2 linked regions of the Lytechinus pictus genome follow. The protein of the gene in region 2 interacts with the protein of the main gene of each other region in a biochemical or structural test. Links are inferred from orthologs where the notes say so. Each region holds a gene or a part of one and is shown on either strand. Other genes may lie near its edges. The genes, in order: COP9 signalosome complex subunit 5 and E3 ubiquitin-protein ligase RNF139-like.

What was found.
Region 1: the proteins of E3 ubiquitin-protein ligase RNF139-like (region 2) and COP9 signalosome complex subunit 5 form a complex in vitro, tested with the Drosophila melanogaster proteins (2 studies listed by BioGRID). The link is inferred for Lytechinus pictus from reciprocal best matches to the Drosophila melanogaster genes Trc8 and CSN5.

What each region holds. Positions count from the first base shown.
Region 1 is NC_087261.1:2,502,205-2,518,751, reverse strand, and holds the start of COP9 signalosome complex subunit 5, read right to left. Parts: upstream 8,384-16,547; 5' UTR 7,318-8,383; coding exon 7,184-7,317; intron 4,944-7,183; coding exon 4,835-4,943; intron 4,637-4,834; coding exon 4,511-4,636; intron 1,986-4,510; coding exon 1,857-1,985; intron 827-1,856; coding exon 761-826; intron 1-760. Other genes in the region: extracellular signal-regulated kinase 2-like, read right to left, coding at 15,019-15,198. UniProt on the Drosophila melanogaster protein: Probable protease subunit of the COP9 signalosome complex (CSN), a complex involved in various cellular and developmental processes.
Region 2 is NC_087256.1:3,845,892-3,861,587, forward strand, and holds E3 ubiquitin-protein ligase RNF139-like, read left to right. Parts: upstream 1-7,783; 5' UTR 7,784-7,985; coding exon 7,986-8,160; intron 8,161-11,117; coding exon 11,118-12,862; 3' UTR 12,863-14,976; downstream 14,977-15,696. UniProt on the Drosophila melanogaster protein: Plays a role in growth inhibition that is dependent upon COP9 signalosome subunits CSN5 and CSN6. May modulate signalosome levels or compartmentalization. Probably functions in the same or a related pathway to VHL during early midline development.

The sequences.
Region 1 (16,547 bases), on a different chromosome or scaffold from region 2:
TATGCAAATGAGGGAACTGATGACATCACTCACTCACTATTTCTTTTGTATTTTATTATATGAAATATGAATTATTCTAATTTTCTCCACATTGTCCAGTGAGACAAAGTTTTATTCCTCCCTGAACATGTGGTATTACCTTTGTTATAACATCTTACGGCTCAGTTAAGTTGGTCCTTAATGTCAAATTGGTGAAAATTGAAATATTGTATAATTCAAACAATATAAAACAAAAGAAATAGTGAGTGATGGACATCATCGACTCTCTCATTTACATGTCACTAAGTTGTGCATATAACTGTTTTGTGAAAAATAAGCAAAACTTTAAAATGTCATAACTTTCTTATTTTACATCCGATTTTGATGAAATTTTCAGCACTATGCTAGTTTTTTTTCTGAAAATCAAAACAAAAAGATCTGATTTTTCTCTATTTATTCAAGTCATAATTTTCCTGGGGTGGACTTGACCTTTAAAGTACGCAAATGTTGCCCAGGTATTTTTTTTTTACACCTTATACCCCATAGAATTACAATATACACCGAATGTTCCTGAGCTTTGTAATTGTATGAACGAGGCTGAATCCAACTTTAAAAGTTCAATTTCAGTGAAATAAAAGGAATAGTAAAAGTTTCAGTCTCAGATGAACTACTGCTCGGTTGATACTTGTATCATCACAACATCAGAAGTGATAAAAGAACCCAATCCCATCAGTGGCATTCTGGTGAGCCAGGGTGGCAGAGTTCAACCTAGAAACATTACCTTTGGATACGTTCTGAAAGCACCGATATTGACCTTTCCTGCAGATATTGTCCTGACCGGATCAACCTGTATGAAAAACAAGCCATACTTAAGCTGGTAACTAAATGTTATCTAAGATTTTTATGTATCAAACTGCATGTGACAACAAGAGTGTCGCTACAGCGAGCACATAATACGCCCGCCTGTAACACAGAAATTAGAGTTATTGATCAAGCAAGAAAAGTGGAAGGTGGCAACTTCCCCTTTGACCTTCTGACCTCAGAATCAATAGAATTCCTGGGATCCATACTAGTATCATACACACCAAATTATATTAGCCTAGGTTAAGTTAAACTAAAGTTATCGCGTTTACAAGGACTTCAGAAGGGTAAGATGAAAACATGTAACTGTGACCTTGACCTTCTGACCTCAAAATCAATAGGATTTCTGGGATCCACGTTAGTATCATACACATCAAATTATATGAGCGTTTACAAGGAAAAAATAACGGACGGACGGACACCAAGCGCAATACCATAATACGTCCCACGGGCGTATAAAATAATATGTACTTGGATAGAATATCATACCATTTAAATCAAATGCATGAGGCTAACTGAAATTCCCAGAAGTCATAAACCAGAGCTGTGTTTTGCAATGGCCAATCAAGCTCACTATTTCATACACATTATGTTCAAACTACAGACCAGGAACCAATCAGAATCGTGCTTTCAATCACTATTTGCAATCCATTGCAAACCTCTGTGTTACGGGGCTCAGGGATTTAAACTTTCATGGTCCAGTGGATAAATCTCTGGACATTGAATCACAAGGTACCAGGTTCAAATCCCTGCTGCAACACAAATGTCCTTTCGTAGGACATAAAGCTACATTTGCTACACTCGACTCAGGTGAGGTACATGGGTACCTGGCAGGAATTATAGTTCCTTGAAATGCTTGTCCACTGTAAAATCTTCCAGGCTAATAAAGCATCTAATATCCAAAGTCCTTTAGAAGCACATAGTGACGTTAATGGTTAAATGATAATATGATGTGCAATTTGCTTTATATTCATAATAATAATAATAATGCATTATAATTGAAGAAATACACCTACCACAATGGCCACAAAAGGTTCTTGAAACTGTTGATTTAACATCTGTGTTCCTACATCAATACCTGATAGCCAGCACCCATATCCAGGATGACTGTGATACCAACCTATAGCATTTTCTAAACGTCCAACCTGTAATCATAAGGACAATTAAAAACATAGTAGGGTTTGTAAATAACAATAAGAATTACCAACATCACTGAAAGGGTCTGGGTAGTCTGCTGCGCATATTTACTGACTTCAAGAAATTGGAAGGAGAGGGGCAAACAAGTTTTATAGGTAAAACTTTACGCCCACAACAAGGTATGATACAAGGTACAATACATATCCTTTACTTGACTTATGCTGCAGTCACATTTCCCCTACGATGTCCACAAGGTGAGTTGAAAACAGCCGTTTTACGGATTCCTTTATGAACCACATACAGAAAGCTGGTACAAAAATCATAAAAACAGCTGTTTTCAACTCACCGGACGGCTATCGTCAGCAAACTGTGACTGCGCCATCGAAGGATCTGAATGGGTAGCCTACAATGACTTGCATACTGAAGGCCCTTGCCAGTGCAGACCTGGGTCTGGGCACTTACATGTTTTGTGTTTTCAATATAAGTAGTAAATATACAGTGAAACCTGTGGATAAAGACCTTCAAAGAAGGAAGACAGGAATAGTGGTCTTTCTAAGCAGGTGGGTGTTTCATAAAGCTGATTGCTAGTTACGAATGACTTTAAGAACGACTGGTGACCTTTTCTTGTGCTTTAAGATATATCCCTAGTACTTAAATGATTTAGCACCTAAGAACATGTTCCAGTCGTTCGTAACATTGTGCGTAACTTAACAAACAGCTGCATGAGACACCCAATAGCTGAACTTAATGGACATAATACATGTTTGAATGGGTTGAATTATTAAATGGAATACAACTTTTGATCTTTTTAGTCCATTGGTCAGTACAGTAGGTTTGACTCTATTCATAATTTGAACCAAATAATAACTTACATGTTTGGCATTTTCAATATAAACAAATTTATGTCTCATTATTCAAGAGAAACCAAACTTGTAGTCTATATAAACAGGTGGTAGATAAAGCAGATTTAAATATAACCATAATTAAACCATAAAAAATTGTCATTTTCAATTTATAAGCAACTAAAATGTATAATCATGATAAGAACCTTTATGGCCCGAATTCACAAAGGTGGTTTTTGAAAACCCATGGTTGAGTCCGTGGTTTATGCAGATTTCCTGTATAAATTACGCTTAATTTAGCGCATATCAGGCGCGTGTATAAAACATGTCCAATGCTGATGCGCGCATTTGTCACAGTGCGCCAAATTGACGCCCGTTACCATGGTTAGATATGCTATTTTATTCATGAGTCCACTGTTTGAAGAGTGGACTCATGAATAAAATAGCGTATCTAACCATGGTAACAGGCGTCAATTTGGCGCACTGTGACAAATGCGCGCATCAGCATTGGACATGTTTTATACACGCGCCCGATACGCACTAAATTAAGCGTAATTTATACAGAAAATCTGCATAAACCATGGACTCAACCGTGGGTTTTCAAAACCACCTTTGTGAATTTGGGCCTATATGTTTGGTATTTTCAATAAGCAACTACATATTCATAATAAGGACCTTACATGTCTTGCATTTTCAGTACGCAGATATATATACAGTCGTGCTCAAAATTAGTTAGTGAACCCCACTAGAAAATAAACGTGTTCAAGTTCTGCCATGCTTTAGATGTCCAATAGTGAAGTCAGGTGATAAAACATTACATCCAATAAAACTGTTTTCGAACATTGTAGTGTTGGGCAATTCCAAGCAAAAGTGGACATTTTCCAAAAATTTGTATTGACTCTATTTCAAATCTGGATCAAATTTTTCTTTCAAAACTGAAATTTCATAAATACAAAAGGGGAAAATAATTAGCTACAATTTTTTTTCTTACGCATCTCCTTATAGGAGAATCCAAACCATACAAGAAATTCTTTATATGGGACTTCATATATTGGTTTTTACTTAATTTCAATTTAACAGAAAACAATTGCTTGTTTTGTAAAATTTTCTCTTAGATAATCTGAAGGTCATCATTTTACATCATATCAAACGAAAATTTTAAAATATAAGTTCATTTTACGCTGCTCGTGAGAGGATATTTCTGATGTCACTCCGTAACCGGGTATGGGTTTACGTTTTAAGTTGTAATTAATGAAATAATACACCAATTTTATAATGTAATGCAGCATATTACAGCCAGAACAACATAGAATCCAATCAATAAATCAAACTTATGATAGCAATTCAAAGTTCAGAGTATAAGCAATATGTTTTCTCCTCAAATATATGTCTATTTTGCGTCACTCCATAACCATGTTTATGAATATTCATCTCATTAATTCAGTGGATCAAAATAACAAATGTTATCATTTTGAAAAGTGGGTTTCAGCAACTACTGTCAGGTACCACTTCTTGGCAAATAGCTATTCAAATATTGGTGATATCTTTTTTTGAATGCAAAAAAGTTGTTTCTGAATGTCACTCTGTAACCATGGAACTGCCCTGTTGTCTACATTCAACACTCTGCATGATGGAGTGTGTTTTGGGGTAGGGTTCACTATTGAGCACAACTGTATTCACAAGGAACTTACATGTTTGGCATTCTCAATATAAGCAGCCATATATTCATATGCAGCAGCCTGAGCATTGACTCTCGTCTCTGTGCCTTCAACAGGAAGAGCGAAGCAATCCATTACTATCATCGTCTCACCATCAACCTGTAAATAGTGAAAAGGAAAGGGTTTATATTCATAACTTGGCCTATGACCAGTTGGTCTAAATGAAAAAGGGTGTAGATAAATCAGCAATTCATCAATGAAACAAGATGAGAAAACTTTGCGATGTACATGACAGCAGAAAAAGAAAGATAATAGAAAGTGTGCAAACGGAATTAAAAATATACATAGGTATTATACCTTTCCAAGGAGCAGTCCCATGACCTCTAGTGTTCCTCCTGATCTTGCATGCATTACCATCTTCAACAGTGCTAGGGCTGAGATCTTGATATACTTGAAATACTGGTTGCTGTCAATGAAGGTGCAGAGAGAATAGGAAGACTTGTAAGGAGATTTACATGTAACAGTTTAATAAAGCCAAATAATACATTTTCTTAGGAAGAAAAGAATACATATACAGGGGTGTATATATTTTTCCTCCTTAAGTGGAAATCCCTTTATAAAAGCAAGACCAAAGCAAAAAATTACAACAATTAATTGATTTCAGAGCTGAATTTTCTCCCCAAATACATTCTCTAATCAATTGATCCCCAAAATGTTAGATAAATTACATTGGGCATCAAGAACATCTGTGTGATGGATTTGTGCTTCTAGTCTCAGTCTAACATCAGCTTCATTGTTTTGTATGCAGCTTTAACATGGACTGAAGTTAGCAATTAAAATCCTAGGATGCAAATGTTTAGTGAAACCTTCTTCTTCCTCTCAGAATACAGACCACCTTCTGGTGTTTTATCGTACCATTACAGGTTTTGCCGGGAACTGACAGGTACGAATGTATTTTGATAGCTACATGTAGCTTCAGTCCATATATAAAAAGGCAGAGAAGACGAAGTGCAAATGAAACTTGAAGTAGAACCATAACATCAATATTGAAGCCAATGCGTGATGTGGTTTGAATTCTGTCGACAATGCACCGACAGAGATTCATCATAGCGACTGTGAAATCTGCGCAAATATTTGGCTAATTAGAGCTTGGAAAAAAGGGGTGAAAATTTCATAATTCTGCGGTTAATGAAATCTATTATTAGCGCCAACATTCCTCAAGGCAACAGCTGTGCACAGCTCAACCCTATTAAACAACCATTAGATCTTTTGCTAAATAAACAAAAGGTGTTAGTCTGATAAATTCCAAATAGATGTCTATAATTTCATGCTCAGATGATTTTAGGAATGCCAGTTAGAACCTTGCACCTTGAAGAAATAATCCCTTTTGCAGCTCATACTTGAAGCTAAACTGGGATGGGTGCATGTGCAGTCAATGGCCGACAGTGACGTTGGATGTTGGAGGTTATTTACAAAAAAAAAGGTGGAGGGTGCAAGTAAAAACATGGCGATTCGGTTTACAATATCAACCGAAGTCCAGCAGGTGGCTGCAAACTTTTTGAGTTTTGTTTGATTACAACATGACTTAATTCATTACTGGAAGAATGTTGTATGGTGGTGTGACCTTAATTCGCGCGTTACCTAATTTTGCGCACAGTCGAATATCTCTTTATCTAATTAATATCTTGAAAAACTTATATAACCAACAGAAAAGCCACCCAAAATTATCCAGTATGGTAATTTTGTTGAAGGCAAGGTCTCAATTTGTGAAAATATTGGCAAATCATTGGGGAATTTTGTTACCTTTTACGTCCGCTCCGAGAAAATCTGATCTTCTCGACAATCATCAAGAAATCGCCAGTTCGCAAGCAGAGGTCTCCAAATAAGTAAAATGTGATACCAACCGAATTTATGCCATTTTAACCTCCATCTGATATAATTATCTTACGTTTGTCTGTTTGATTTCTTTTCTAAAGCTTTGCAAAATGATCGTGCGCAAATTAAGGTCACACTTTTTAATGGCAAGTTTTCAGCCAAGCACGCACTAGTCGATCGCCATGGAATTTTTAGATCGCGATACGAGCGAAACCCTTGACCTACTTTATAATTTCATCAAGCGAATTTGACTTTGGGATTTTGCCTTCCATCTGGTATTTATGATTTTGATTAATTTTGTGTGAACTATGAGAATTTTTTGACTGAAAATCAACTTCATGATAATTTTTAAAATGTGCGCAAATTATGGTCACCCCATCATACATATCAACAGCTGAGCTTCCAGGAACATCTTCTTATCATTTACCCAAATCACAAATGAGAAGCAGACAATGTTGACGCATGATCAGCTCAGGTAAAACAAAACTTCATTTTCAAAATCATCAATCATGAATCATCATAAAAAAGACACAGACAGTGCAAAGACAGAAAGACAAAGGAAAAATAACTGTAGGGCCTATGCTATTCCTCAGTCATTCTTGTTTATTAATCTACTACTAGGTCTAGGGTTTTTTTTCCATGGCTATTCCCCCTGTCAATGCCAAAGTCAGAAGTTAGCCGTGCCATGGCCATGGCGTGCGAAGAAAAAGTGTTTTTGTAGAATTGTGAAGTGGCCGGCCAAGGCAAGCCAGTGGCAAGCCTATCCCCTCTTAAATTTACAACACAGATTGCAACGGTTGGGACTAGTCTGACTGTGGGAGGACAACTTACTCTTTCGACCATGGTTTTGCTTGCAGTATCTCGTGTTGTTGTTTCTTGTCGTACTTGTAAATCTCATCAACATTTTGAACAAGTTCAACGTTATTAGACATTTCCCATGTCTTTTGGGCTATCTCACGATCCATGTCACCTATTTTCTTCAGAATTTCGCAGAGAGAAAAGTCAAGGTCGTCACTGGAGTTAGCCCATAGAGATGTATACTAATTATATCTCTATGAGTTAGCCCCTATTTTTCTGAAATTAATAATAATAAAATAGGCAAAAGAGAAAAGAGAAGAGAAGCAAAGAGAAGAAAAGGAAAGAAAAAGAAAAAGAAAAGAAAAGGAAAGAAAGGAAAAGAATAAAAGGAATAAAAGGAAAGGAAAAAAGGAAAGGAAAGCTAGAAAGAAAAGGAAACAAAAAAGAACAGAAATAGATAAAACAAAAAAAAAAATGAAAAGAAGAGAGAAAAAAATTCATAGAAGATATAAAGAGAAATGAAAAAAAAAATAAGGGAATAGAAAAGAAACAAACTGAAGGAGAGAACAAAAAAAGAAACTATATATCATTTTTTACAGCTTTGATTGGCAAAATAGTCATGATATATGGTTGCCATTAAAACCATCAAGGAAAGAGAAAGAAGGGGGGAGAACTATAAAATCTGAATCTGTTTGATTTGGTTTCGTTTTTGAGGGGCTTTTTTGTGTGTGTTTTTTAATGCCAAATACATGCAGATCGATGACCAGTATCTAATGAAAGCATATTGGTGATCAAGCTCAGTGACAATTGTAGTTGCAAGCCTGTAATATATTTTTTCTTTCAAATTCTTTTCTTGTCCGCAAAATGAAATAACAAGTCACCATTTCTTTGTCAGGCATCGTTTTTTTTCTGCTACTTGAGAAAATTTGACAAATTGACCCCCCCCCCATGCATCCCACAATATTCATTACATTACAAGAAATTAATTTTAACTTTCAAAATTTCTGACAAATGCCTTAACCATCTGAGGGGTCAGCATGATGATGAAGATAAATAAGGGGTCAGTAAGTTTTTTAAATGCCCTTCTAGATCTGTCAAGTAAAAGAAAAAAATGATTAACTTGAAAAAATGGTTGACATTGTCATCCAAGAAATTTTGACAAGCAGAAAGAAAGAAAGCAGTTCTAATTTGACCAGCTCTGCCTTTTTTATGTGGACCCCCGCCCCCCCCCCCCCCAAGAAAAAAAAATGTTAGGTATTAAATATGAAGAAGGGATTGTCCAAGTACATTCTTCAATATAACATATACACTATTCATACATAATCATTATAGTTGCATTTTTTTTAATGATATTAATCACAGTTCCGCTACCCAAGTCAGTAAAATTTGGAACTGAGGAGACACATAATGTATAACAAGGAGATACAACTGAGGGATGCTACCTGTGTCATTACCATAAGTTACTTACTATACATATGTTGTTACATAAAAAAACATACAGACAAAAACGACTCAAAATCCACTGAACTTTTATGATTACACAAGCACACCATGCTATCACATCGAGGCGGGTTTCAAATGGTGATACAGAAGTGATTACAGGGGTGGGTCTAGCGTTTTACAGAGGGGGTTTGACCGAGAAATTTGACAAGCAAAAAAAAAAAGACTTCAGTACAAAATGAAGGTCAATTTGGTACCAAGAAGTTTGACAAGCAAAAAAAAAGGAAAAAGAAAACAACTATGAAATTAGGTAATTTGGGGGGGTTGGCTCAAAAATCTTACTTGTTTTTTACTTGGCAGCTCAATCTGAAGACCATATAGGCCAACTTTTCTGCCTTGCGGTCTGTATTCATCTATTTATTGGGGAAAGGGGGGGGGGTGCTGTGTTGATCAAACCAAAGTTTTTTCCTCATAATATTTGCTCTTTTAACATAATGCTCTTAAATGAGGAACAGGGTCCTGTAAAGACTTGTTATAATAGCAAATACACAATATCTATACCAAATAGACTATCAACCAATCAGATTGAAAGATTTCAGTGACTTTTAACTGTTATTGCAAATTTGCTATTATAAAAAAGTTTTACGAAACAGGCCCATCAATTAAGTAAAATTTCTAATTTGCTATCGAATACAAGACAGCTTATGCATAATTGCACACCAGAAACAACACATCACATAATATTTTTTCTCATTTTTAAGAAAACAGTATCACTGTCTCTTTAATTAATATTCTTTAATTTCATTGTCACAAAAGAAATTGCTTTATCAAGTACTTTTAATCAAGTTCATTTATACATGTACGCATACTGAACATTAAATTATACTCACAACCGACTGATCTATACAACTTTTTAAGACACTTCTATTATAAACATTTGGAATCACACACACACATTCTAATTGTAAGCCATTCATTAGGAATTCTCACAATAATCAAGGTTTCAGTAAAGTCACTTTTCAGTACTTAGCACAAAATATATCTTGAATAATCACAGCTAAATTCATTCACTTTTTTAGTAGTACCCTCAACCGTGGCACTTCATACACCAGAAGGCTGTTTCATAAAGCTGATTGTAATTTAAGAATGACTTTATAAATGACATACACAAAGTTGTGCATGACTTACAAACATCTTTGTGAAACTCCATCCCCGACTCCTGAGTGGCTATTGACAAACTTCTGGATAACGATATCCGTAATACTACCCCCCCCCCCCTCCAATGATATTCACCTTCTTGTCATTTATAAAATACATGTACAGCCTCATGATATCACACGAAAAAATTTATTTTGAAAAAAATAGGTTGCAGGATATCTTTATCTAAAGTTGATTCAGAGCCTCCTAGGGCTGATCGCACAAAAGAGCTTTGCAAGGACCGTCTTTCGTGGTGCTGATTTAATTACATTACTAGAAAGCGCCTCATACAGCGCATGGGTAACACGAAAGACCGGTCCTTGCCAAGACCCTTGCGTGCCCCTTGTATCTAAAGTCACCACGGCTAACGGTAATAATTCAAAATAAATATTGATATGTCGATAAATATTTCCAATTGAAGAAGACATTGGTAGAAGAATTCTCAATATGATATATCACAAGCAAATAAATATACAATGAATACTTCAACAATTACACATTTCTTGGCAAAGACTTCCCTGGAATACAATATGCTCAATTACATAATTCTCTATATAACATCTGTGTAATATTCCATATAAAGTTGGAATTTTGTTACCAAAAATAATGTTAGACAATAGTGGCGTCTGAATGCTCTAAACCAACAAGTTTGGAAGGTTGAACCGTTGTCAACACACAATGGCTTGCCCTTCCAAACCTTTGCCTGACCTGGTGGGTGTTTCATAAGGCTGATCGTAAAGTTATGAACGACTTTACGCACGACTGGAACAAGTTCTTAGGTCATAACTCAATTACATACATGTATAGATATCACATAGCACAAGAAAGGATCACCAGTCGTGCGTAAAGTCATTTGTATCTTACGATCTGCTTTATGAAACACCCACCCGGCCCTTGTTTCATAAACAGTTTACAACTACACCTACGATAGCTTTTAGATTATTGTAAATACCATGGTAATCTTGATTGTGATTGGCTGCTGAGCCCTGTAACCATTGTTGTTCTAAAGGAATAGTTACCCTAGCTTAAATTCTTATGAAATGGCCCCAGAGTGCTCTGGCGCCACTGTGAAAGAGTGAGCAACTCCCTTCCCCAGACCCCCAGAGTGAATAGGAAATGCCTCATGTATGATCAGAAGATCAGACACTAGACTAGAGATTTCAATGTTTTCTGTAGTCTACCCCTGCTTGGTTATCTCAAAATGAACTAACCCTTTGCCTACAAACTAAAATATAAATATTCTGTCCAAGATTTGGGGAATGCTGAATGATAACTTTGGTTTATGGCTTGATACAACTGGAATGTCAATTTCAAAGAGGACGAACAAAACTTAACTCAAGGTACCTTAAATAAAAGCCCGAGCCACTGTGTGTACAGGTATTGTGGTCCAGTGGATAAGTCTCCACAACTGAATCACAAGGTTTCAGGTTCAACTCCCTGCTGCAGCACTAATGTCTCTCAGCAATACATTCATCAATAATTGCATCATTTATTCATTATGTACCTGGCAAAAATGAATTCCTTAAAATGCTTGTGTACTCTATAGTCTATAAACAGCTTCCAACACTAAGTCAAAGGTATAACAAAAGTCCTTTGGAAGCCCATAGAGACATTAGATGATGCGGCTTACATCAGAAAATGTTACATTCAGCAAATTTTCCACTTCTAATCCCCAAATTCTGCATAGCCAAGGCAATGGGGAATAGGGATAACTGCCCAGTATTCGAACATGTGGTAAATCAAAGGATGCATCTATTGTTAAAATACTGTTCAAAATATTTTGACTTCACATGTTATTCTACTATGTCCAAATCTGAAACACAAGTTGCATACAATGAAGCTTTGTGGCGATTTCCTGGTTTAAATTTATCTTTATTCCCTATAACTTTGCAACATACTTGTCATTTTAAGATGGTAATTTCTGCATAATCAAAGACTTCATCTTGCTCATTCTATGCTTGGCAGATACGTACCAAATAATTGCCTATGTGGAAGCTAGATTGTGAAAAGTATGTGATGTATTTACCTTTTCACATCAAATTTCTTCTACATCAAACACAAATTTCGGTGGTCCAAAGAGTTTTGACTTAGGCAGACTTCCCTGTTCGAAAACCTTAATAGTAATAATTATTCAAATTCATATCATATAGACAAAAAAACGATACGTGTTTTGCACACAGAATCAATCTTTGTTAACATTCAAATGAATTTAACGATGGGGAGATATTTTGACAAGGTCTATATAACTACTCCATAATACAGACAAATGAGAACCAACATGCACATACTGATCTGTATACGGTAACACTGCTTTTTGACAGACATCCATTTAGACACTCTTTCTTAAATTTCAAACTAGTAATTTTTTTTTTTTTTTGCTATTGTTTTTTTTGGGGGATGGTTCTTCAGTATCTTATTTGTTCTGAAGCGCGTTGTGCATCTCATTACGACAGAAAGTGATTTATATAAATCTAATACATAATATTATTAACCTGTTGACATTGTATACTAAGAAAAATGAAGATTAAAGAGAAATAATGAAGAAACACAGAATTATTCACACAAATGTACTTTCTTTGTAGAATGAAGATAAATGTAATCTAGTTGTCTTACTGCAATTATCTAGATTCAAGTATATATGTCCTTGCACTGCAGGCACAAGCATAAAAAGCATGCCTGATCAGTACTTTGGGCCAAAAATTCCCAGCAGGTAGTCACAAATTTGAACACTACTGAAACGTTTGCGGATGTCACTCTATGCCTTGGTGAATATTGGAGATAAACCAAGGACTTCATGGTTTAGGTTATGAGCTTGCACATATCAAGATGTAGAGTTAAGCTAAAGTCACACCAACGAAACCAACTACAAACCAATCAATGATATGCCATTGGTAATAGCATAATTGATTGGTGTGGTCTGGGGCCCACGAAGGCCTCCGCACACCTTACGACTGTTTGAGATCCGATTTTGGATCAGATAGCATTTTGCTCATTTTCTGAAAATGTGAATGGAAAATATCATTTTATTTGAGGTTAAAAGTAATTGAAAGAATACCAATATAACCATTATGAAAGATTGCAAGCCTTTATTTTGGAGTAAAGGCCAAATTAGTTTCAAATCTTAGCCAATCGTACAACTGCTATGACGTCATTACGACTAGATATTAAATTCGCTTTCATTCTAAGAAGGATGATAGCATTGTCACAGATAGGTATTCGTGCGATGATTTAGAACATTACACAGTAAGATATTCCATGTTTCAATAATAGTATCAAATTCTACTATGTTTTATTCCAAAATCGGGTCGCAGACCAATCGTAAGGTGTGCAGTTGCCTTAACACAAAGCTTAGCAATGATCGTAGAACATTTTATCTACGATTAAATCTATTGACTACAATGTACAATCAGTCGTGAAAATTTAGTGTACGATTAATCGCTAGCTTTTGTGTTACGGGACCCTGGAGTCTGTTTTCTTGGTGTGATGGTAGCATTAGGGTATTGTTTCATGAAAGTTGTCAGTACTGACTATTATGAGCTACATCATGTATGTGTATGACCCAGGCAAAAAATAATATTTCATTTTTGGGACTACTTCTCATAAGCTACTGCCTATATCTGCAACATTGGATGAGCTTTAACATTGTAGCGAATGGGGATTTGGGGGGGGGGGGGGGGTTCTTTTTTAAATTTCCATGGCTCTTGTCTTGTCTGGCATATATGCAAGCTTGCTGTACTCCGCCAACTTTGTTACAAAATTTGAGGTCACTGAGCAAGCAGGTTACTCTTTTGAGAATTTGGAGGCCAAAATCGCCCCGATCCCCTGTCCAGTGAAATCGTTGGTGGTAGCAGGCTTATTCTGACAGGAAGCATTGAATGTTGCAATTAAGGTGATTGCCAAAGGATGACGACTTGTGGAATGCTGACAACTATCATGAAACACTACCCTTCCAATGGTTTTGACAACAGTGAAGATTGCTGCATGGCACATACTACAAGTAATTAATCCACACGCAATGACAGTGTCAATGAATGCTAACTTGGTCAGTGGTGACACGCTTCATGAAATGGTGCCGAGATGTTGACATAACTTCCTATTGCTTTGTCAAACCCTGCGATAGTATGCTGTAGAAATGGTTGTGATCCCCGACAACCATGTAGCTTGACCATACTGCATGCTGACAGCAAACTCCAAGACCCTGTCTTACTGAGAGCTGCGATTTCAAATCAATCTCAAATTGGGATTGATCTTAATCTCTTCCATACACATATTCAGATATATTGTGTGGAGCGTTGTGGCCCAGTGGATTAGTCTTCAGACTTTGAAACTAGAGGGTCGTGTGTTCAAATCCCAGCCATGGCGTAATTTCCTTCGGCAAGAAATTTATCCACACTGTGCTGCACTCGACCCAGGTGAGGTACAAGGGTACCTGGCAGGAATTTATTCCTTGAAATGCCACCGCAATAATAATATCCAATTAAGTGCATAGGGATGCATTTGGCAGTGATATATACAGCATGTTGGTATTATTATTATTATATTGCAATAATAATAATAATAAACAGTTCTTGTATAGCGCATATCACAATTATGAATAATGTCTCTATGCGCTTCCAAAGGACTTGGATATTATTACCCCAGCTGTAGCTTGGCAATGTGAGATTGATTTGAGTCAATTACAACTCTTTGTAAAACAGGACCCTGGATAGCTTGTAGGCTACTGAGGACTTATGTCCATTGAGTGGCCAGACCACAAGTGCCCAGAAACAGGAAAAGGGCACTATCCTGTATGTAAAGAACATTTTCCCTGTGCCAACGCTAATCTGCTAGCTAATGTATCACAACACTGGACAGGATTCAGACAAGAGAGGATTCCAGTCTGTAGTCTTGACTCTCTGAATGATTCACATGCGTTGTCCGAAAGGTTGCGGATAAAGTGCAAGATTACCGCCCCTGCAGCATAGTACAATTGTGGGCTTCCCTTGTACTTTTGAATAATCTCTTGTGCACAGAAACAGTTCGCAGGCTAGCAGTAGAAGACTACCATCCCTGCGGCTTAGTAAAATTGTGGGTTTCCCTTGTAGTTCAGATAATCTTTTGTGCAGGAAAACAGTTCGCAGGTGAGGAGCAGAAGGCTACCATCCCCACTGCTTAGTAAAATTGTGGGCTTTTTTGGCATGCTGGTTAAACCACTAGTGTCGAGAAACCGTGTGCAGGGTCTGTGAAGAAGACTACCTTCCCTGTAGCTTAGCCAAACTGCTAGCTGATATCGTACCATGGGCCTGGCTGTAGCTGCCAAACGTTGTCCGAGGTGCGCCCGAAGAGCCAATGTTCTTGGATCCGAACTGCTTACGCCCTCCGGCGTGGGACGTCCTGCTTTCTTGGGCTGAAATGGGTCTCTGTGCAGGGACCTGAAAAGAGATACAGAAAAATAGATGACCATCATAACATCAGGGGATATTCTAAAAAGTAGGCTAAAATAAATTTGAGCTGGACGTTTGGCCGGAATTTTGTGAAGGATTCCTTTTATCATTATGAACATTTCAACGACCATCATTTCTCCCATATGTTGTAAGACTGTAGAGGGGACAGACTGAGCCAAGCAAAGAAAATCTGGACATTGCCACTTTAAAACTATCTCTAAATATAATTTGTTTAATTGAGTGGAACAAGAAATTCTACTTTATCTTGGAAACATTTGATTAATATAGTAAGAAAATAACCCCCAACAGCATGCAAAAACACTTCACATCACTCCTAATGATTCAGAAGTACCATTGCAAATTGAAATATCTTGTCTCCCTTAATTGTAACAAAGAAAAATTCTATTCACATGTAGTCAAGTACAGTACAGATCGTTTATTCTTGTTAAAGCCTTCTGTGTAGTAAATGGCATAATTTTCTGTGTAGATTTCAGATATTCTTGAATGCGTAGATCCTCAGTGAGGTACATGTATAAAAATGTACAAGTGTATATATCTCAAGGCTTGAACAGTGGCACATCTCACTTTTAGTTTAAGAATGACCAATCCCTTTTGTCTGCAGAACAGAGAGAGAGAGAGAGAGAGCCCATTATATGATTCGCACTACTAATTCCAAAAGTAAGTCTAATTGCAAAATATCCTGAACAAGTACTGGAGGCCAGCAGTGTAAATCACTTTAAAAACATGAAATTTATATTTTCATCATTATTTGGCTTATGATAGCCTATTCAGGTTACCGGTAAATAGGGAAAAATTGCGTGCATGAAAGGGGTTATTTCATGAAAATGGTGATAGAGTGTACACACATACATGTATCTGTGCACCCACAAACACACACACATTTGTATTTGCCATCCGCAGTGGGTATTACAATCGTAAACGAGGACATGGGTGTTTGAATCTTCAAGTTGCTAATCAGAGACACCTCCCCCCCCCCCCCCAGTGTGTGAGATGTCTCTTGCAAACTGTGGACTTCTACATGTACATTTATATATTTGTTTTAATTATTAGAGGAGGGGTGACCTCAGAATTTGTTGTGTCAGATTATTATCGTAAGTGTTGAGGAAGAAGATGCAAACACACACACCCACCCCCTCACACACGTCACAAGTTAATCTCCATAATCTGATATGAATCTGCACTGCAAGGATCAAGAGACCTAAATCATGACACAATACTAAAGATAAGCAAGGCTTTACAAATGGCTTGGGCAATAGAAAGCTATTTGGAGCTCAGATTTCCTGAGATCACAAAGTGATGAACAGTGCCATCTATCA
Region 2 (15,696 bases):
TTTGATTAACTTTTAATAAATTTACTCGTAGAAACAAATATATGCATAAATAAACAACAATAACTATAGATTTGGATTAAGTGGTGGAATAGGTTATCCTAAGCTGTAATATACCTCATGAACCAAGTCCGTCAATGCATATTAAACACAACTAACTGAGACCATTCAGACTAGAACTTAAAATAAGAAAGAAAAAAAGCTACATCTCTGCTATTTTATGTAATTTTCCACAACTCATTTGATAGTAAGATCATGGAGTTGTACATCTATGTAATAAAATGGATACTGGAAAAACATCGGATGGTATTCTGAGCTTGTTTCATCGATATGCTGGAGAGACGAAATGGGGATAGGTTGCTATTTTGTCTTTGTCATGTATGTGTGCATGGGTGCTGAGGCCCCGGGGAGGGGGGGGGGGGGGCACTCAGTATATAATGCATAGTGGGTATGTGCTGTGGAGGGGACCCCCATTTTTACGCTCAAATTTCCGTTCCAAGGCCTAGCATTTTTGTCTTATTAAAAAAAAAAGAACAAAGAAAGCCGCTCCAAAGCACTGGCGTAAATCCGTGTTGATGGGTGGGGGGGATGACTAAAATATTTTGGCATTTTTTTGCAATCATGTTTTTAGATATGCAAGGAATTGTCATTGATATGTCCACAGTGGCGTACCGTGGGTCACGGCATTGGGGGGGAGGCACCGGAAAATTTTTTGAATCACTGAGTGAGTGCGCTAGTGAGCGCGCGAAGCGCGCTCAGTTGCCAGTTATACTGACCTAATAGAGACATTTTAAGGACAATGTCATTAAACGGATATGTATCTCACTGATCAAAAAATGCGAGCGCGAAGCGCGAGCTGAAATTTTGTATATTCACACCTAAAAAAGGGACATTATAATCAAATTTGTGTAATCATGATAGGTACCTGTCTCGCTAAACAATGCGAGCGCGAAGCGCGAGCTGAAAATTTAGATAATTCAGACATGAAGTGGGGCATTCTAAGGTTTCTTTGTGGGAATTAACTAGGACCATACGTATTTCATTAACCAAGTGATGCGAGCGCGAAGCGCGAGCTGAAAATTTTTGATATTCAGATCAGAAGAAGGGACATTTTAAGGACCGATTTGGGGAATTCATGAAGAGCAGACATATCTCACCAATCACGGACAGGAAATGTTTCATATATACGAAGACCTTAACATGGGGCAATCACTTTTTGAGACATGAAAAAGAAGCATATATGTCACTACATAAAACAATGATAACTCAAGTGCTAGGAAATATATTTGGTTTGTATTGACTTGAAAACGGGATGTTTTAGTACAACAGGATTATATATCTCGTTAAACAGACAGTGCGAGCACCAATGAAGACGTAGGCCCTGGGCAAATCATAAAGTTATGATAAAAATGCTTCTTATGTAATGTAACATAACATAATTATGATATAATATATTATAATGAATAATATTTTCTTCTTTCACTATGTTTTTCTTCCTTTCTCCCTCTTTTCCAGTCCCCCTTTCCCCGTTTTTTTTTTTTTTGGTCAGCCGATGGGGGGATGTGCCCCCCATGCCCCCCGTAGTTACGCCACTGTATGTCCATATGGCAAAAACCCCTCCAATATTATTATCTTTTTTTACCCCATGATGGTTTAATGGTTTTATTAGAGATTACATTCATATTTTTTTGACATTCCATCTTAATCCCTTCCCAAAGACCCTGGTTTGTCTTCAATGTTATAATAAGGACATAAGTATTTTGTTTGGAAATGGTGAACTGGCTCTTTATTTGCATTTTATGATTTAATAATATTGTTTTATTTGTTAAGCGGTATTTTAGGAAGAATTTTCACCAATAAAACAATTATCTCTTGTGATTTTTTTTCATTTCTTTCGTAGAAAGTGGGGGGGGGGATGTTTGTACAGGCCATCCCCCCTCCTCGAAAAGTGGGGGGGATACCCCCCCCCCACCCCCCCCCCCCCCGGGATTTACGCCAGTGCTCCAAAGCATAGCATTTTCTTCTTATCGAGAAAAAAGAAGAAAGAAATCCGCTCCAAAGCTTCGCATATTTTTCGTTACGCCGTTCCGGTCGCATTGATCAGCTACAATGAGCTGCAATTTTGGTGAAAAGCGGCCGCAGAGCGCTGTCCGACCATCGCCTCTGCGCGAGCGCACCCGGCGACCGGGCTGCCGGGCTAGCTGCATCATGCACGCATGCCCGTTCCATAGGGATGCATACGCACTCACACGCTGGCGATCCGTTCCAAGGACCCCCATTTTCACAAACATTTGTAGTTCCATAGCCCGTTCCGAGGACCCTCCTTTTTACAATAAGCCCGCTCCAAGGCCCCCGTTTTTTGTCTCGCGCCCGCGGCACACCCCTACCACTTTTTTGGTCGAGTGCCCCCCCCCCCCCGGGGCTGAGGCAGCCTATCATCACTGGGATATACAAATTAATAATTCTTCTACTATTACTTTCCTAAGAAGTTGCAATTCAGGCCCTGTTGCATAAAGGTTACTTTGCTATGAACTGGTAAGTTCGATTGAATCCTTGTCTGCTGGGTATTTTTACCATGGTAACTATCATATAGCCATCATAGCATGGAACGTATATTTTCAATGCGACGAGACTCTGGTTGGAGAAACAAGCATACTTTAAATTGGATTTCATGATTAGTGTACAACATTGTATTCAAGATCGCACCCCTCATTGGGTACTTCGCGTCTATGAAATGAAAAATAAGGTGCAAATTATATTATCAAAATACACTGAAATGGAAATTCGTATTTCCAGTATAGTGTCAAAAAGAGCATGAGTTTCACACATTTCGCGCACGTTAGCCACTACCATGAGCGCCCGGGCATGAGCACTCTCATTGGTTAAAAGGATGGTCCGGGCTGAAAATATTTATATTTATAAATAAATAGTGTAAAATTCACAGAGCAAAATGCGGAAAATTTCATTAAAAATCGGATAACAAATAACGAAGTTATTGAATCTTAAAATTTATCAACATTTTGAAAACAGTTATATGCACATGGTTATGAATATTCATTAGGTGGGCTGATGATGTCACATTCCTCTTTCCTTTTTCTAATTTCATGAAATCATATTAATGTTTCTTTTTTTCAAACATGTGTAAATACATGATGTGTCTCCATTATGATGAAATAAAGATGCGGCAATGAATAACTAATGCACTATAGCTTAATCAGTTATCAATTCAGTTGTTTTAGTTCTTGGTAGATAAATTTTGAATAAACCCAATTTCATATAATATAATATAATACAAAAGAACAAGTGGGGATTATGACATCATCATCATCACCTAATGAATATTCATAAAGACATGCCTAGAACTGTTTCACCGGAATAATGCAAATCTTTAAAATTCAATAACTTTGTTATTTGTTATCCAATTTTGATCAAATTTCCAGCATTTTGCTCTGTGAATTTTACTCCATTTATTGAGATATAAATATTTCCAGCCTGGACCATCCCTTTAAGTATTTGGGCGAAATTAAGTTCGAACAAAATATCTGATTGGATACTATTTTAGTGGTGGTGTTGATGGGCGAAGTTGTAACGCTATTCATAACACTTCTCAGATTATATAGGAGTGTTCTCATGGTGTTATAACTCACGACCTGAAAAGTGCACATACGAAAGTTACAACATTATCATATGTATTATTTGCAGATGACACCAACATTTTTTGTTCACATAATAGCTTAGAAACTTTTTAGTAGATATAATTAACCGTGAATTGCCAAAACTATCTTTGTGGTTTAAGTGTAATAAGCTTTCACTCAATATATACAGTGCGTATAAAAAAAAAAGTTTACACTTAGAAAAAATCCTGTAAAATTATTGTAATATCCTGAAGATTTTTCCACATTTTAACATTGGTACAGATCCATTTAAGCAAATGACGATATAACTGTCGAAAAATATTTCCGCTTGAGTGAGCACCACTTACTTTTGAAAAGTTAGTGAAAAATGATTTGCGCAGAACTTTGAAATAGCTATGCGAATAAAAGTAGACCTTAATCATGAGGAACACGCTAGTAAAATTGATTTAAAGATATCTTTTACTTTTTTAAACTTGTTTCCTTGCCCAACACACTTTGAAGAGTGCATTGCGCCCATGCAACCCCACTCCCCAACACACCGATGCCCTCGTGACGATTTTTGCTTTACACTGAGCTGTGATTTACATGAAATGGCTTAGGCTTGATTTTCACTTTGTTAATCATTGACAAGCTTGGAAAAAAGTGTGGAGAAACAAGTATTAAATGAAAAATGAAATGTAAACCCACTTTAAATGATAAAAACTTAGGGAAAAATGTTGAAGATGTCTCATATAAACTTTTGTTCAGATTCAGTTATGTCCTCAGATCCAGCTGGCACAAAAAGGGTAAAGGTTGTGCTTCCTAAGTGTTGAAATTTCAATTTGGGTGGCAAAATTGTTACAAAATGCTTGATTGTATCCGTTTTATTTCAATTGACTAAAAGTACAAGGGAGATGTATGAGAAATGTTTCGCAGGGTAAGTTTGATTTCGCCCTTTCCCCTTGACACTGCGTAAAAACGAGCATTTCTGCGCAAACAGATTTCTGCGAGCTTTACACAAATAGACAGTGCTCACTCAAGTGTAACATTCTGTCAAAACTTTTACTTTCATTGGATAGATGAGACCCAAACCCAAGATTATATGTGAAAAAATTACCCACATGTTGTTTATTTTTTAATTCCAAGGGCTTTTTCAAAGTGTAAACTTTTTTTTGATACGCACTGTAGATAAAACAAACTTTATATATTTCAAGTATACACACTCACATGGTAACGAATTTCCTTCCAATATAAACATAGATAATATTCCTCTCAAAAGGAAAAGAGAAACAAAGTTTTTAGGTGTCACAATAGATGAAAATTTAAATTGGAATGAACATGTATACGTTGTATAACTACTAGTATTTCTAGAAACGTAGGTATACTTTACAAAATGAAAAACATAATTCCACATACAACTCTTATCATACTATACAATTCATTAATATTACCTTATATATCGTATTGCAACATAGTTTGGGCAACATGTGCAAAAACTAAAATTAATACAATATACTTATTACAGAAAAAAGCAATTCGAATCTGTACTGATTCCTAATATTTATCACACACAAATCCATTATTCCATAAACTAAAGACTCTAACATGCAGTATTTGATATAAATTCACTTCAAAGTTTACTACTTATGTTTAAGTACGTAAATAACATGCTCCCACCTTCATTCCACAATTTTTATACTCTGAATACATCTATTCATTCATACCCTACCCGTAACTCTTCAAATTTCCATTTAATTAACCCCACATTGCTTATTGCGCAGAGATCCATAAGACACCATGGTCCAGATTTGTGGAACTCTCTACCAGAGTCTGTAAAACAATCTTCGTTTCTTCACTCATTTAAGGCAAACGTTAAATCTATGTTATTATCAGGATATTTGAAGTAAAATTTCTGTGTCGTTGTATCCTTTTTTATCGTGAATTCATTCCTCCTTCGATTTAGTCATTACCAATATCTCCATCATGACCACCATCATCTCCATGGCCTTCACCATCACCATCATCATATCACCGTCACCCTCACCTTTATCATCTTAATCTTCATACTAAAAATATTGCATGAATTGATGTTTCGTATTTAAAAATATATGCCCATTCTGCTTTATAAATGTATTAATTAATTTAATTAGTTTTAGTTTGGGATTGTCATTTTTCTTCAAGCAATCTGCTTATGATGACAATCCTTCTCCTGCAAATTGTGAATATCATATAATAATTTGGTAGTTAATCATTTTTGTCTGGAATTATTTTTTTTTAGTACACTTTATTTATGATTCATGCCAAAAATGCTAACATATTATGTTTATTATGTTATGGAAAATGTATTATACGAATGTTCCATGGATGCAGAAGAAAACAATAAATCAAATCACATCAAACATCATAGCACCACCGGTTGTCGGGACCAAGGATCACACCTATTCAGGTGTTGACTGTGCTAGTTCAACATCCACAGGTTTTATTTTAACTTCATTATGTTCGAAGGGTTTGGTCCTCCTATTTTCATTAGCTGGAGCACCATTGGGCCTATGGTATATTTATTCCAAAAAAATCATTTTATATAAAAGAGGCCAAATATTTAATAAATAGCAGTAAGCATAAATGCATCATTACCATTAATGTTATGACCATCATTGTTGTTATTGCTATTATTGTTATTATTTTGTTCATAAAATTTTATATTATTGTCATTATCATTCATTATTATTACCGTATTATCATAATTATTGCTATTAAGCCTTATCCATCGCGTCTAACAAAAAGAAATCTGATGCTATAGCGTTGTGTGTTATCGTGCCTCACCTCTGTATTCAGTGCAGGTGTGAATGCAGTTGGAAAACACTCCGTCCATCGGAAAGGACGCAATTGTTGGTCCCGTGTATATGAGAGTCACAACCTATGAACGTTAAAACCAATACACTATTCGTCAAAGAGTAGGGTGTTTATCCGGTGTATTGCACCTGCCGGTCCCGGCAAAATTCAGGTCAAGTCAATCTTGACGTTCATATGCCATAATAATCAATAGGCCCCTATAATCATGATAATGATGATTGTGGGCATTAACGGGAAAGACAATGTATCACTAACAAATTTTTTCTCCTTTTTATCATTTTATCTTCTTCATCTATAATGTAAAATAAATACAAGGTGTAATGAATTGTGTGCATAGTTTACCAATATTTTCTTATCATTGTACTTTCTAGGACTGATACAAGGCCGGTTTACACAAAGCTTCTTGTATTGATATTTATTTATGTACATGATTACGATGACCATTACTGGATGAAAATTTACAAAATATTATCATTGAAACCTATTCCTATTGGGTGTTACAAGAAACTTGCGATCAATAAATTGCAATCATATTTTGGGTCCCGAATGCAATCATAAATCTTGTAATTAATTGCAAATTAGTACTTGATTGCTGATTTGCTTCTAGCAACAACGAGTATAAATTTATTTCATACAGCTAGCTAGTGTTCTATCAATAATTGTAACATCACAATTTGCAATTGATTGCAAATACCTTCTTGCTACACCCCCTTAGAAGATTTTAATTCAGATTGTGAATTATTCATTTGCAAAACTTAGTATTTTTTTTCATGTGTTTATCTGAATATATATTTTTATCGTAATACTTCATTTTAACGAAACTCATACTGTAAATGAGCACCCCCCTCAACACACACAATTAAAAAGGAAGAAGAGGTGTAAAAGAATGGAATGATGAAGAGGAGGGAAAGGAAACCGAGGAAAGTAAGTAAAGGAAAATGAAGAGAGTAAGAGAGAGAGAGAGACCGCGGTAAAATGGTCTCATATTCCATCCTCATTAAAAGACCGCAGGAGGTGGTATAAAAAAAGGAGGAGCAATTGCAAGTTGCAATGGGTAGAAATCCTACTTTAGCCAGGTGCATTACCATGTCATTGGAGTCATTGCATAAATTATCTTTGGTTGCATTGAGTTAGTAATTGCCTAGTGACATCCCGGGAGTTACATGAAGAAGAAAGGGACACATGGAGAAGAAAAAAAAATCACGATTACTGCATGCCATCTGTCTTGGGGAAAACCTGAGGGGAATCCCCTCAATTTCCGTGCGCGAGCTAGTGACGTACTTGCACGTACGTGTACGTACGTGTGCGCGCCTGCGCCCACATATATGTAAATTAGGTCGACAAGCCGGTCGCCGGTGAAAAGCCAAGATAAAAGGGACAAGATTCCACCCAAATTTAAAGCTTTATCATCATGCCTGGGCTAGATAAGTTTACTTAAAGTTTTTGGATGGATCTCTCTTGAAATTGAAAGTTTATCTGTGCGACATTTCACTTCATTTTGTTGGAAAACAGTGTTCTAATATGTCCCAGAATGCTATGGATGTGGAACTGGAAGAAAGATATGGACCCCTGATTCGGGTACCACTGTTGCTGGTCATGGACGCCCTGAGCTCCGGGCGGTTAACTCTCTTCAGATACATTGTTGACGATGATGGGTACTCGGACTCTGTACTTTCTACTGTTGTCCATTTAGCCGGTAAGTCTAACTACCTAGATATAAGTCTAGGTCTAGATCTTGAGTCTAAAGTGATAAACCCTCCCTTCTCAGCTCCGAACCCCCTCCCTTCTTCAGAAGTACTTTTGCCTTTTGGGGCCTGTAGGCTGTACTGAATTGAAATTGAATTTGAAAGGGTCTTTCGTAGAACCGTTCTTCTAGAACGCGAACGAGATATCGCTCAACTGTTTCACAAAGCCGATTTGGGCGATACGAAGAATAGTCCTTGGAAAGACACCTCCAGACGTGTCCTACGTAGGCATGATCTTCTTTGCACACCGCCCGCCACCATTGGCATTGAGAGAAAATGCGTTTACGGCAAGCCACACTGACAATTATCACTTTTAAACATTTTTGGGGGTCATTTGATTGCACTCTGTCTCTGATGCATTTTATCTGGGATGGCGCCAAGTTATTTTTATATGGAGGCTGTCATCAATTTCATGGCAAAACAGATGTCACTTTCACCGTTCCGGGGTATCTAGGCCCATATAATTTTTTTGTAAATATGTATATTATGTTTTCTTTTTAAAAAAATATTAGATTTTAGATAAAAAAAGGTTGAATCACACATCGGATCCAGATTTTTCGCGTATGATATACAGTAAGTAGAAAGCTGCGAGAATGTGTGCGATATCATTTAATATGCTTTACCATTTACGGTATGTGGTTTACTTCGGAAGCTTGTATTGCTGGTTGCGTTCTAGGCGCTCAGCATTCATTTACTCTTATCCTGTCTTATTGTTTTTTTTGCTGTCAAAAGATGGCGTACGTCACCTATAAGATTTTACATGAGATGCAACCCGTTGATTTTTTTGTACAATTTCCTATTGTGCGCCGACGACTTGAATCGAGACTGTTAGATCGGAAAAAAATTCACATTTCGATTGTTGTTTGCATGAGTTCCACCGCAGTACGAAAGGATTTTCAGTGGTTCTTGGCTGAGATTTGGAGGTACAGTAAAGGTTAAAAAAAAATCATTTTTAAAACAATTGTAATATATTTTCATCATTAAGTTATCAAATATCTTTAAAAGTAACACAGTTAGTAATTATAGAAAGTTTTTTGGTGTTTTATTCCCCCACATTCGTGGGATGGAGGAAAATGTCAAAATCCATTCTCTAGCTTACTAGGCCTAACCTCGCAATACGTGTGAGTTGGTTACATCTGCCTTCTTCATTCAGGGTTGAAGATTCTTGCAGACCGTTTATTTGGCATGTGTGTATGGCCAGGTTTAGGTGTGTGGTGCAAATATACATGTATACAGGTGTGAGTAAAAAGTCCAATCTGGTTTCTTTAGCTCTGGCCTTCTGCCAGTCTCGGGCGGAAGGCTTTTGGAGAAGAGGCATTGATTTTGTTGGGAGGGAGAGCATTCCATACCTTGATCGTCCTCGGAAAGAAGGATTGACGATTCAAGTCATTTCATTTCATTTTACATTTTATTTCATTTATTCCACCTTCATGTGTAAAAATAATAAAAATGTAAATCAAGCATTGGCATATGGTGTGGGCCCCGTAAAAAGTTAAGAGCTTATCACCAGGGGCCCAAGCTTAACACGATGGTGCTCAGTCCTGCAGTGTGGTAGCTAGTAGCCATTCCCTTGTTGCTGTGGTCAAGTTCTTGTTGTTCCAGTTAGTGGGGTGATGTATTCTTCCACTGGGAAGCTGACAAGATTGTGGTGCAGCTGGTACAGTACCAGTCACCATTCTTTGAATCACTATTACCTGTTTCAACCAGAGAACAATAGATTTGGTCCACTGATTCTATTGTTCTCTGGCCAAAACAGGTAATAGTGAGTCAAAGAATTGTGACTGGTACTGTACATAAGCACCAGTCTAGAATCTTCCCTTCGTTTCTTTGTTTCCCTTCTTGAACGAAGTTCTTCACTCCGTGAATTTGACAACATTGAACACTTCAAATCGTCTCTCAAATTCTCACATATTTCAGTAGATGTGTAATTGGATGAGCTTTCGCCTATGAATGTTTTTAAGAGAAATTTGATGCGATATAAATGCTGGGCCTGTGGATCATAAACCATGGCATTCATGGAAAATGAAAAAAATACTGTCTTGCCATGCCATTGTAAATTTCTGCTTTCACCTCTTCTGTCACATCATATCTGCCATGTCAATCTGTTTGAGCTAAGGATTTATTTAGCAATGTCAGACATTATTCATCATCTATCGACTATCCCAAGCCCAGTCAGTATATTACAGCAGTACAGAAAGTGAATGCAGCCAAGGCCAATTTAGTGAGCAGAATTAGTATACATGTAACATTCAAGTTTCATGACTCCCACACGAGACTGAAACTAATCAAGGCCCAATATTTATTTTTTTTAACCGGGTTTGCATGCTTATTTATTTTAAGGAACAGGTTAAAGAAATGTGAATATTTATTGACCAGATATGTTCCAATGTTGGCTCAAGTATTCACTGTACTATAGCTTCTTGCCTTGGTTAATAATACATGTAAGCAGTGACTTTACACACCAACTCCTCCTTGACTTTGTACCTGATGAAGTTGGTTATGACTATGCCAATGGAAGTACATTGGAATTTAGTAATGACAATGCTGCATATGATATGGAATGATATATGATTATCATCAACTGTCACAATAAGTTAAGTGATATGATCTTCAAAAGTGAATTGTCAAACAATATTTAACTATTGCATAGATGGTAGACCTAAGTTATTGCTTCTATCATATTAGCATAGTGCAGATTTTATGGAATTCGGAAATTGTTTTTAGTTCATTATTTTTTTAATCCAAACTGGAATGGTCTACATTTTATTTCCTACTGCAATCTAATGTACGGTACTAACATTAAAGGAAAATATTTCTTTGTTTAAAGTATATACATGTAGAATAAAGGGTTCCTTTGGTAAATACTGGTATTCTAATTCTATCTTTATTTTCATTTATATCTTCATAGCTTTGCTGATTTGTGGGATGATGTTCTTTCTAACAGCATCAACCCTGAAGATTTGTTATGCATTGATGGTTTTTATGGCAGCACTGAAGACATCTCAGTGGTGGAATGGTATCTTCCTCCAGAAACTTGGGATGGAGAACATCACCATGCTACACTCCAACCAGACTGTCATCTCATCCTTTGGAGATGAGTGGAAGGTGAACACGTTAGACATCATGTCCAGTGATGAATTCCTCTTCTATCTCTGCATCCAGCTCATGTACAGCTTTGTCGTCACCAAGACACCAATGCTTCATTCTTTAAGGAACACAGAATCTAATGCTCCTGTACTCTCAGTGTGGTTCTGCCTTGTCTCTCCTGTGTTCCTCTACCTGTTCTTGAATACCTTTCCAGTACTTACACCAGATTCTGCAACCCTTCTTGTCCAAACCTTCTACGGACTCTACCCGATCTTACCTATCCTGCTACTTGACATAGTGTGGAGTTTTTTTTACTTTGTGCATTACTATTTCAAAAATATTCGTGTCATTGCAAGGACATTTACAAGGATTTATATGCAATTTGGAATTCAGGTGTTAGTGGAAAACCAGTGGATTAGGTTACAAGTGCCAACAGTACTAAGACTATTTTGGCTAACAAGATTTGCGCTTCATGTAGGCAGATTAGTTCTCCAGTATCACTATGGTCCCATGAGTGCTAGCCCATCTGAGGATGTACCCAACAATAGAACAATATTATCTGCAGCCTTGTCAGAAATTGCTAGTGAAAGCTGCAGTACTAGGATTGCAGTGTTAGGGCTCAGTGCAACATTGTCACCTATAGCAACTGGAATTGGACATTTGACTCGGTTATTTCTAGGTGGGGACCGTGATGGAGGAGAGAACATTGGTACTCTTGCATCAGTTTTGTTCTTCATCCTCGCTCTACAAACTGGTTTGCCTGACCTATCACCCGAGAACAGACTCATAAGGCTCGGAAGGAACATGGGCTTGTTGAGTACTGCTATCCTTCACTTCATACACACTATGCTCAATGGGACAATGATGCAGCTATCAACATCACACATCGTCCATCGTGGGAAGCATGCCAGAGCTCTAACTATGGTGGCATTGCTTACTGTACTTCCAATCTGGTTTATTGTCTACCTATGGACATCCAACCCCATTGGAACATGGATGCTCGCACTAACCGCTTTCTGCTTGGAGCTTATTGTGAAGGTCATTGTGACGCTCATTGTCTACATCCTTTTCTCCATCGACACTCAGGGCGACACCTTCTGGGAACAACTGGATGATTATGTCTACTATGTCAAAGCAACGGGTAGCACTATCGAGTTCATCTCCGGCATTTTTCTCTTTGTGAATGGAGCTTGGATATTTGTATTTGAATCTCGTGGAATCATAAGAGCCTTCATGATCTGCATCCATGCCTATTTCAATATCTTCCAGCTGGGAAAAGATGGATGGAAGAAATTTAAGAGCAGACGTCTGGCCGTGCAGAAGATAAAATCCATGGAGCAGGCTAGTGCAGATATGCTTGCTAGCCACAATGATGTTTGTGCGATATGCTATCAAGAACTCACTAGCGCATGTATTACTCCTTGTCACCACTTCTTCCATGCCACATGTCTTAGAAAATGGCTTTATGTTCAAGACTACTGCCCTCTATGTCATAAAGAAATCACAGAAGATTCAGATGATAAAAATCCAGCTGAAGAAGATGGAAATGTAGCTCGAGGTGATTAGTGTTACCTCTGGCATTTTATCTACATATTCAAAGGAATTTTTTTTAATGTCATTTTTGGGGTGGGTGTGATATTTTTTTTCCATTCATCAGATTTTGATTGAAATATTCTTTGTAAACATGTCCCTAGATAAAAGTGATCAAACCATTACTAAATAATGTTCATCCGTAGCTGATAGGAATCAAATTGATGGAGAATTAGTGTGATTTAGCCACAAAGAAAAGGACCACCCGTCTTGTGTAAATTGCAAGAAACTTTATGAAACTCCCAGCTTTTCACAAATGAAGTTGTCATATGTTAGTAACAAATTAGCTTGCATATAGCAGGGGTGTGAGAGTTCAGATTTTTATCTGATTTCAGATTTTTTTCGTTTTGATTTTCAGCTTATTTTTCGCTTTCCTCTGAACAAAAAGTATGGGAGCTCTTTCTATTTCAGACTTTTTCTACAAGTTTCAGCTTTTTTCAGATCTTTTTATTTGTGACCACTCACACCCCTGATATAGCCAAAACATTGCTGGCCATGCTAGCTAGCATAGAAGCATTTTGTACAGCTTTTTCCTTCGGGTCATTGCCAAGATTAAATGTCACAGAAACCATGCAATAGTGGCAGTGCAATGCTAGTAAACTAGTACATGTAGCTAATGAGTGGTTTAGAGTACGGTACGCCAATGAATTGGTAGATGTCTTTCTTTAGATTGACCGAACTACATATAAGTTTACATGGATACTTTGTTAATGTCATGAAATTTCCTAAATTCATGGAAAATCTTTAAAGTACCCTCCAATAGTCATGTATCATGATGATAGGTATTTTAAGCTGGTGATATGGACCCTAATCAAGTGATCTGTAAAATTTGAACATGTGACCAGTCATTCATTAATTTTGCTGTCAGAAAATTTTCCTAATGTATGGTATGGTACTACAAGCTCTATTGACCTGTCATGAGATGAAATCCACATCCTTCTTTATAAAACACATATTACACATTGTTTTGCTTCAAGGGCATTAGAATACATGTAATTACTGATGCACACGCTTGTTATTATCCTAACTTGTTAACAGTCCAAACAGAAGTGTGCCAAAGGTAATTCATACTAATTAAGTGGGGGCAACATGGTCTAGTGGTTATGACCTGTCTTTTAATCTGAGGGATGTGGGTTCGATTCGCAGCCATGGTGTGTTTTTGATAAGCGAGATATTTACCCACATTGTGCTGCACTCAACCCAGATTAGGTGACTGGATAATTATTAGAAAGAAATTCCTGTAATGCTTGAGCACCTTTATAGGCAGTGCAGCTAAAGCCAGGGTTATAATAGCAGCGCTTTGTATCCTTAGGCAAAAAGCTCCTTATAAATCCAGCTATTATTAGTAGTATTATTATGTGTATTATTTGTATACTATTCATTCACACCCACTCTGTAGATTATGTGCTTATTTGATATTTGTATTTGATATACGTACCACATAATTTGCATACAGATGATCAGTAGATTTGAAGTCAATTTCAATATTCATTGTGCAATTTGTAATAAATACAATACATGTTTATTGTACATAACTACTGTACAATTATACTTTCTATGATTTTTCAAAATAATTTGATTGAATTTTGGGGGCTGGCTAGGTTTATTGATGCAGCTATATTATATACTCAGACCGATATTTGATTTCCTTTGAATTTTATGGGGACTGGTTTGAATATGATAGTAAGAATTATAATCATGTACATGATGTGAAGTGGGCATGGTGGGGGGGGGGGGATCATGCTGCCCCTTGCTAAAGCCCAGGTAATTATTCTCATTTGTATATCATGTGAAAACTAAATGTATGGAGCATTATTGTTTAATGGTTCTGACTCTCGCCTTTGAAACAGAAGGTTGTGGGTTCAAATCCCAGCAATGGTGTAATTTCCTTCAAGAAATTGATCAACATTGTGCTGCACTTAACTCAATTGAAGCGAATGGGTACCTAGCATGATAAGAGCCCTGGGAAATAAATAAAAAATATTTTAGGTATCACATGTACGTTGTGAAAAGTAACCCCTGAAATAAAATATTTTTTGCCTGTCAAGATACAGTTTGGAAAATAATTATTAAACCACTTTCCTACTAAAGCTCCCACATGGTATGGTCCAATATTTTCTAAGCTGTAATTCCACTCCAGACTTTTAGACATTTTTCCTCTGAAGGAAAGAGATACAAATTTTGTGAATGGAACCTTGCTATGAATTGTGTATTCATGTTGTTTGAAGATTCCTCCCACTACACATTTATTCTTGTTTTCAAATAGATACATGTTATTCCTTTAAGAATTTATTTGAAGAATATTTTACTTCATAAAATACACAATAAAGATTTTATCAGCTTCATTCTATATTAATTTATGGTTTGAGCATTTTGATCGTTACAAATTATAAATTTTGCTTGAAAATAACATAATGCTTTTAACTTTTTGTTCAATTGCTAGTGAAAGAGTTGGTGCCTTGGATATTCAAATCCTTATTGAAAGATAAAATGTTATCAATCAAATGGCAATAGAAAGTTAAGCTACATGTACTCCAAGTATGCCCAGTTTCATAGCTTATCAGCCATGTATTTGATTTGGAAACATTGATGTTTTTAAACAACAAAAACAGGTATTATTGTGCTACTCACCGATCAGGATTCTTGGATGTCATGTGGACCGAAATGTTTTTACCCAAATTTTTACATAGAAATTCATGTTTATTTTCTAGTCCATTACAGATTACAAATTTGAATGTTTAAGAAAAATATCATTGGAAATATTTAGCACTCAAGTGAATTGAAATCTACAGCTCTAGACAATATATTTA